Macaca mulatta: one gene and its partner. The protein of the gene in region 1 purifies or fractionates together with the protein of each later gene. This does not show direct contact. Links are inferred from orthologs where the notes say so. Each region holds a gene or a part of one and is shown in the gene's direction. Other genes may lie near its edges.

Evidence for each region.
Region 2: the proteins of ABL2 (region 1) and RIN1 purify together in Homo sapiens (co-immunoprecipitation; 3 studies listed by BioGRID and IntAct, counting the BioPlex papers as one, with this or other methods). This does not show direct contact. The link is inferred for Macaca mulatta from reciprocal best matches to the Homo sapiens genes ABL2 and RIN1.

What each region holds. Positions count from the first base shown.
Region 1 is NC_133406.1:36,518,094-36,521,085, reverse strand, and holds part of ABL2 (tyrosine-protein kinase ABL2), read left to right. Parts: intron 1-1,950; coding exon 1,951-2,124; intron 2,125-2,992. UniProt on the Homo sapiens protein: Non-receptor tyrosine-protein kinase that plays an ABL1-overlapping role in key processes linked to cell growth and survival such as cytoskeleton remodeling in response to extracellular stimuli, cell motility and adhesion and receptor endocytosis.
Region 2 is NC_133419.1:8,087,648-8,092,166, forward strand, and holds the start of RIN1 (ras and Rab interactor 1), read left to right. Parts: upstream 1-1,686; 5' UTR 1,687-1,719; coding exon 1,720-1,805; exon of another isoform or gene 1,806-1,831; intron 1,832-1,963; coding exon 1,964-2,144; intron 2,145-2,246; coding exon 2,247-2,361; intron 2,362-2,440; coding exon 2,441-2,513; intron 2,514-2,624; coding exon 2,625-2,716; intron 2,717-2,871; coding exon 2,872-3,609; intron 3,610-3,901; coding exon 3,902-4,207; intron 4,208-4,467; coding exon 4,468-4,519. Other genes in the region: BRMS1 (breast cancer metastasis-suppressor 1), read left to right, coding at 233-240. UniProt on the Homo sapiens protein: Ras effector protein, which may serve as an inhibitory modulator of neuronal plasticity in aversive memory formation. Can affect Ras signaling at different levels. First, by competing with RAF1 protein for binding to activated Ras.

The sequences.
Region 1 (2,992 bases):
AGAAATTTTTTCAGCCTCCCTATCAGTAACCTTAGTAAGTGTGGTAGCTCTTTAAGCATCAATACTTAGAATGTAGGGAAGAAAAAAGGAAAAAATAAGTATAAACTACATCTACAAAGCAGAACCAAGTTGTAAAAACAATAACCAGACATTCCATTTCTGGAAATAGATCTTAAGGAAATAATTAAGAATATAAACAAAGATTTAACTACAAGGACATTGCATCAAAGTATAGTTTATAATAGTGAGAAATTATGAACAACTGAAATATCTACTGGACTGTAAATTATTACATCCATATAGCTGAATATTTAAAAAGATATTCATATATATGTGTGTGTGTGTGTATGTATATATGCACACATTTTTTTTTTTGAGACAGAGTCTCACTCTATCGCCTAGGCTGGAGTGCAGTGGTGTGATGTCGGCTCACTGCAGTCTTCGTCTCTCAGGTTCAAGCAATTCTCATGCTTCAGCCTCCCGAGTAGCTGGGATGGCAGGCGCCTGCTAGCACACCTGGCTAATTTTTGTATTTTCAGTAGAGATGGGGTTTTGCCATGTCGGCTAGGCTGATCTCGAACTCCTGACCTTAAGTGATCCACCCTCCTCTGCCTCCCAAAGTGCTGGGATTACAGGTGTGAGCCACAGCTCCCAGCCTTCTTGGATATATTGACATGGAAAGGAGTTAAAGGTTAACTTAGTAAACGAGGATATCCAGATGTCCAATAACCGTGCTCAACATTACTCATCATAGAGAAATACAAAATAAAACCACAATGAGATACCAATCCACGGCCTACCAGAAAGGCTTAAATTAAAATCAGACTGGCCTGGCACAGTGCTTCACGCCTGTAATCCCAGCACTTTGGGAGGCCTAGGTGGATGGATCACTTGAGGTCAGCAGTTGGAGACTAGCCTGGCCAACATGGTGAAACCCTGTCTGTACTAAAAATACAAAAACAAAAACTAGCCAAGCATGGTGGGTGCCTGTAATCCCAGCTACTTGGGAGGCTGAGGCAGGAGAGTCACTTGAACCCGGAAGATGGAGGTTGCAGTGAGCTGAGATCGCACTGCTGCACTCTAGCCGGGGCGACAGAACAAGACTCCCTGTCAAAAAAAAAGACTGGGCACTGTGGCTCACACCTGTAATCCCAGCACTTTGGGAGGCTGAGGCAAGCAGATCACAAGTTCAGGAGTTCAAGACCAGCCTGGCCAACATGGTGAAACCCCATCTCTACTAAAAATACAAAGAATAACTGGGTGTGGTGGCTTGCTTCTGTAATCCCAGCTATTCAGGAGGCTGAGGCAGGAGAATCATTTGAACCTGGGAGGCAGAAGTTGCAATGAGCCGAGATCACGCCATTGCACTCCAGCCTGGGCAGCAGGGTGAGACTCCATCTCCCAAAAAAAAAAAAAAAAAATCAAGCCAAAAATAATAACATCAAATTTTAGCAAGCATGCAGAGTGACCACAGCTTTCATGTGAAATAGTATTGCCATTGGGGGACAGGTTGGCAGGGCCTAATAAACCTGAATGCACATATACCCTGTGATCCACCAGTTCTCCTACATTGTGCCGATCAGACGTGCATAACATTGTGAACCAAAAGACACATAGCAGGATGATGCTAGCAACGTATTCATAGTAACTCCAAACTGGAAACAACCTAAACATCCATCAGGAGGAGAACGGGCGGATTGTGGTATATTCACACATTGGCATGTTACACAGCAATGAGAACCCCTGCCACATATAGCAGCATGGACAAATCTACAGAGACGGTACTGGGCGAAGGAAGCCAGACAAAAGAGTACATACTTTATGATTCCGTGTATGTATTTTAGTACTCTACTTGCCAGTTCTTTCTCAGTTGTGTGCCTTTTCTGAAAAGAACTCCCTTTTTCTGTTATGAAATTGTACTTTTTATTGGTCCCCTTATCTTCCTCACAGAGGTAGCTGAGGAGCTTGGGAGAGCCGCCTCCTCGTCATCTGTTGTTCCGTACCTGCCCCGGCTACCTATACTTCCTTCCAAGACTCGGACACTGAAGAAACAGGTGGAGAACAAGGAGAACATTGAAGGGGCACAGGATGCCACAGAAAATTCTGCTTCCAGTTTAGCACCAGGTATGGGTCTTTCGGCAGGTAGAATCAAAATAGAAACTGCTTTGTTGAAAGAAGCATGGAGTATGAGGCTTTTATGTTCACTTTCATGCCCGTCTTCCTGGAGGGAAGCATGGCGTCTCTTTTACCCACCCACAAAGCCCTTGGCTCCGCATTGCCAGTGTTGGTCGTCCTGATCTTTCCATCCAACATACAACTGTGGCTCCAGTTTCATCTCCTTAACCCTGGGTTCCCAAGTAGGTATCATCTTTACAGTTCCATCAAAAACTTCGCTGAACCTGATAGAGGAGAAGAGGTTGTGCGGTGGTTTTTAAAGAAAGGATGAGTGTTGAGGTAATAACCGGCGGGTTATCTCCTCCCTGGCTTTTTTTTTTCTTTTATTTTGAGATGGAGTCTCACTCTGTCGCCCAGGCTGGAGTGCAGTGGCCGGATCTTGGCTCATTGCAAGCTCCGCCTCCTGGGTTCACGCCATTCTCCTGCCTCAAACTCCCGAGTAGCTGGGACTACAAGCGCCCGCCACCACGCCCGGCTAATTTTTTGTATTTTTAGTAGAGATGGGGTTTCACCGTGTTAGCCAGGATGGTCTTGATCTCTTGACCTCCTGATCCTCCTGCCTTGGCCTCCCAAAGTGCTAGGATTACAGGCGTGAGCCGCCGTGCCCGGCCCCCTGTCTCCCCTGATTTTTAAAACTCATATCACGTTTGGAACACCAGTCACCGTGAAATGATAATGTATTTATTATTTATCTCTGAGTCCTGCCAACACCTGACACTTGATAAATGCTGACAAAACTCTTATAATGCTGCCTCGGTAATTCAAATGTGATAGATTCACTTCTTGTCTTTTAAGTTACTGATCGGCCATTTCTCGT
Region 2 (4,519 bases), on another chromosome or scaffold:
AGGATGGTCTAGATTTGAGGGGCTTGTGGGAGTTTGAGGAGCAGGAACCAGGATGGGGCTGGGGAAGCCTGGGTTGATGGAGCTCCCACTCAGGAGGGGTCAGGGAGGGCCGTGGAGCTGCCCAGGAGGCCTGTCCTGGGCCAGCCCAAAGTCACTCCGCTCAGTAAGTGGCTGCCCCCCTCCTTTCAGCTTCCTCACTGGTGACAGTTTTCTCCTTCCCACATACGCACAGGACCGTGACCCTGCTGTTCAGAGCCAGGGGGACCCTCAGAGCAGCTGGCACCGCACCCAGGATTCTCATCTTCCTGCTGCAGACAGGCAGACCCACAGGCCCCTCAGGGTCTGCCCAGCCAGGCTCCTGTGGTGCTGCTGGGCCCTCCCACTCCGCTGGCACTGGCCTGGACTCCTCCTCTGCCCTCCTCGAGGCCTGCACAGCTGTGGCTGTGGAGCCGACCTGGCCAGGCAAGGCTGCTCTCTCCATCCCTGAGCCGCCTGCCACCTCCCGCTCCTGAAGATCTGCCTCTTGGGGCTCCCCTGACAGAGAAGACAGCTGAAGTCAAAGCCACATCCTCTTGCTGACCTTGGATGCAGGCTCTCCGGCCTCAGGGCCAGGGAGCCAGGCCCCACTGTGCAGGAACTCTGAGTCAGACGTGATATCTAGGGGGGCTGTCCACCCTGGCTGGGGCTGGAGGCAAGATGCCAGGCCCCCCAGGTTTTCTCAGGGCAGTTCTTGGTGTCTGCCTCTCAGATTTCAAGGACTAGAATTAAAACCTTTCCTGGGATTCTGGTGTGCCCCGTGTATGTGTGATTTACCTTGCAAGAGAATCAGGGCTTCTGTGGGGAGCACCTGAACCAGGCTGACTTCTGAGGTGCCTGCAGATTGCCACTCCTTGCACTGCCCAGCAGAGGCTGGAGCACTGTGCGTGGGGCCACACTGGGGAGGGGGAGGTGGGTGCTGGGCTGCCTGGCACTGGGCAGAGAACATATGGTGCCAGCGGAGTGCCTCGGGTGGGGAGGATGGGTGCGTGTGCTTGAAGCCTGGGTCATGTCTGCACCTGTCCCAGTTGCCTGGCAGATTGGCAAGGCAGGCTGGCAGAGCCTGCATGCGTAGGAGGCAGCCGGCAGCAGCACCATGTGCTAACGACCTCACAGCCAGACTCCCCCTGGTTAGTGCTGAGTGTCAGAACCACCCCCAGAACCTCAGTTAAGCAAATAGGTTGGTTTCCATGGAGACGTGGCATATTTTCTCCATGGCAACCTAAAATCCTAAAACCCATGTTCAGGAATGAGTCATCTATGGACAGTAGAGGGTGCTCTCCCACAAGGCTGACCTGAGGCCAGGGGCAGATGAGCAACTGACCACAGACCCAGAGGTGCCCCCAGAGTGTGGCTGGGGCCTGCGGGGACTGAGTCGGCCGTTTAACCACTTCCCGCCCACCTGTGCAATTTGAGGAGCTGGTGAGGCTGCAGGAGGCCCTGTGTGGAGGTGGCACCCCCCAGCTGGGGCCCTCAGAGCAGGGCTAGCACGGAGGGGATCCCTGACCCCCGAAGCAGGGTCCAGAACAGAGGAGGCAGGCACTGGCCAGGCGGGGTGGACACACAAGAGTTAACAGGCGGGTGTGACAGGCGGACCGCCCTCAGGAAGTGTTACTCACTGGGGATGTGCGTGCCTTGCCTTGGGGTTGGATTCTCTTCCTGAAGCCGAAGGAGCTCCCAGCCATGGAAAGCCCTGGAGAGTCAGGCACGGGCCCTCCGGGAGCCCCCAGCCCATCCAGCTTCACTCCTGGGCACCTGGAGACAGAAAAGTTAGTGAAGTTGGCAGGGCAGCCAGGTGGGGCAGGGAGGGGCTGCGAGAAGAGGGTCTATCTGGGGACGGAGAAGGTGGGAAACCTGGGAGCGGGGAAGAGGAGAGCAAGGGTCCCAGCCCCTGGCTCCCTGCTCAGATCTGGATGCCCGCCCTCAGGCCAGCCCAGGACCCACTGTATGACGTGCCCAATGCCAGCGGCGGGCAGGCAGGCGGGCCACAGCGGCCGGGACGCGTTGTGAGCCTGCGGGAGCGCCTGCTGCTCACCCGGCCTGTGTGGCTGCAGCTGCAAGCCAACGCAGCCGCGGCACTGCACGTGCTGAGGACCGAGCCCCCGGGGGTGAGTCTTGCCCCCAACCTCCAGGGACTGGCCAGCCAGGGGTGGGAGGGAGAAGGGTGGGATGCCAAGGTCCTGAGCTGCCTGAGCCCTATCCACTTGCAGACGTTCCTCGTGCGGAAATCTAACACCCGACAGTGCCAGGCCCTGTGCATGCGACTGCCCGAAGCCAGCGGCCCCTCCTTCGTCTCCAGCCACTACATCCTGGAGAGCCCTGGCGGTGAGGGGCTGGCCTGGCAGGAAGGGGCTGGAAGGAGGGAGGTTCCCTAGAGAAGCACCTCACTTCCCTCCTCTCTCAGGCGTCTCCTTGGAGGGCTCGGAGCTCATGTTCCCAGACCTAGTCCAGCTCATCTGTGCCTACTGCCACACCCGGTGAGTCTGCCTGCAGGGTGCCCTGTGTCCACGGGCCCTGCTCCTTGGGACAGCCCATCCTCCCCACCCCCTTCGGCCCTCACTCCCTTCTGCTCCCCTCTCTGGCCTCAGGGACATCCTTCTCCTCCCGCTGCAGCTCCCCAGAGCCATCCACCGTGCAGCCACCCACAAAGAGCTGGAGGCCATCTCCCATCTGGGCATTGGTAAGAGCTCCTTGCCACCCATTGCACAGATGAAAAAGCTGAGGCTGAGGGGAGGGGAAGGCTCGCAGCACACGGCCCGAAGCCCATGCCTTTCCTTGCTTGGGAAACTTCCCCTAACCAATCCTGGAGGCCCCAGTTGGTTTCTTGTTCCCTAGAGTTCTGGAGCTCCTCCCTCAACATCAAGGCTCAGCGGGGCCCGGCTGGAGGCCCAGTGTTGCCCCAGCTGAAGGCCCGGTCCCCTCAAGAGCTGGACCAGGGCACCGGAGCCGCCTTGTGCTTCTTCAACCCCCTGTTCCCGGGGGACCTGGGGCCCACCAAGCGGGAGAAATTCAAGAGAAGCTTCAAAGTGCGCGTGTCCACAGAGACTTCCAGCCCCCTGTCTCCACCTGCCGTGCCGCCTCCCCCCGTCCCTGTGTTGCCAGGGGCAGTCCCCAGCCAGACAGAGCGGCTGCCCCCTTGCCAGTTGCTGCGGAGGGAGAGTTCAGTGGGGTACCGCGTGCCAGCAGGCGGTGACCCTAGCCTTCCGCCTATGCCCTCCCTCCAGGAGGTGGACTGCGGCTCCCCCAGCAGCTCCGAGGAGGAGGGGGCGCCAGGGTCCCGGGGGAGCCCAGCGACCTCACCCCACCTGGGCCGCCGGCGGCCTCTGCTTCGGTCCATGAGTGCCGCCTTCTGCTCCCTACTGGCGCCGGAGCGGCAGGTGGGCCGGGCCGCGGCGGCACTGATGCAGGACCGACACACAGCCGCAGGCCAGCTGGTGCAGGACCTACTGACCCAGGTGCGGGCCGGGCCTGAGCCCCAGGAGCTGCAGGGCATCCGTCAGGCACTGAGCCGGGCCCGGGCCATGCTGAGCGTGGAGCTGGGCCCTGAGAAGCTGCTGCCGCCTAAAAGGCTGGGTGAGGCTCCGTCTCTCCATAGCTCCAGCACTGCCCCATCCGACCCTCTGCTCCCCTCCACAGCGCCAGCCTGTCTGATTCTGTTCTGCTGCTTTACAAACCCACCCTGTCTTACCACTGTTCGAGAGAGTTCCATCCTCTCTCTCCCCAAACTCTTCTGTCTCACCCAGGCTACCTCCTCCTGCTTTCCTTGCCTCTCCTCTCCGATTCTACCCCTGCTCCCTTCTCCCCTGGCCTCTGTCCCCCATCTCCCCAGTCTTCCCCTGACCCCTCCCTGCCCCTCCTCTGGCAGAACATGTCCTGGAGAAGTCATTGCATCGCTCTGTGCTCAAGCCTCTCCGGCCCATCCTGGCAGCCCGCGTGCGGCGCCGGCTTGCCGCAGACGGCTCCCTGGGCCGCCTAGCTGAGGGCCTCCGCCTGGCCCGGGCCCAGGGTCCCGGAGCTTTTGGGTCCCACCTGAGCCTGCCCTCCCCAGTAGAGATGGAGCAGGTGCGCCAGAAGTTGCTGCAGCTGCTCCGCACCTACTCACCCAGCGCCCAGGTGAAGCGGCTCCTGCAGGCCTGCAAGCTGCTCTACATGGCCCTGAGGACCCAGGAGGGTATGTCTCTGCCACCACCTCACCCTGCCCTGCCCCTCTGAGTTGGAGGTGGGACCCCCAGTGGCAGGTCCCCAGGACCCTGGAATGGCCCTGCGGGAGACAATGAGCCCACCCTCCCATCTTGCAGATTGCGAAACTGAGGCCCAGAGAGCAGTGCGTTGTCTCCGAAGCCCTGCCATGGTTGCTAGGCCATGGGGAGGGGTCACTGCCTAAAGCAAGGACTGCACCTGAAGCTTCTTCCTCTCACCATGTCCCCACAGGGGAGGACGCGGGTGCTGACGAGTTCCTGCCTCTGCTGAGCCTCGTCTTGGC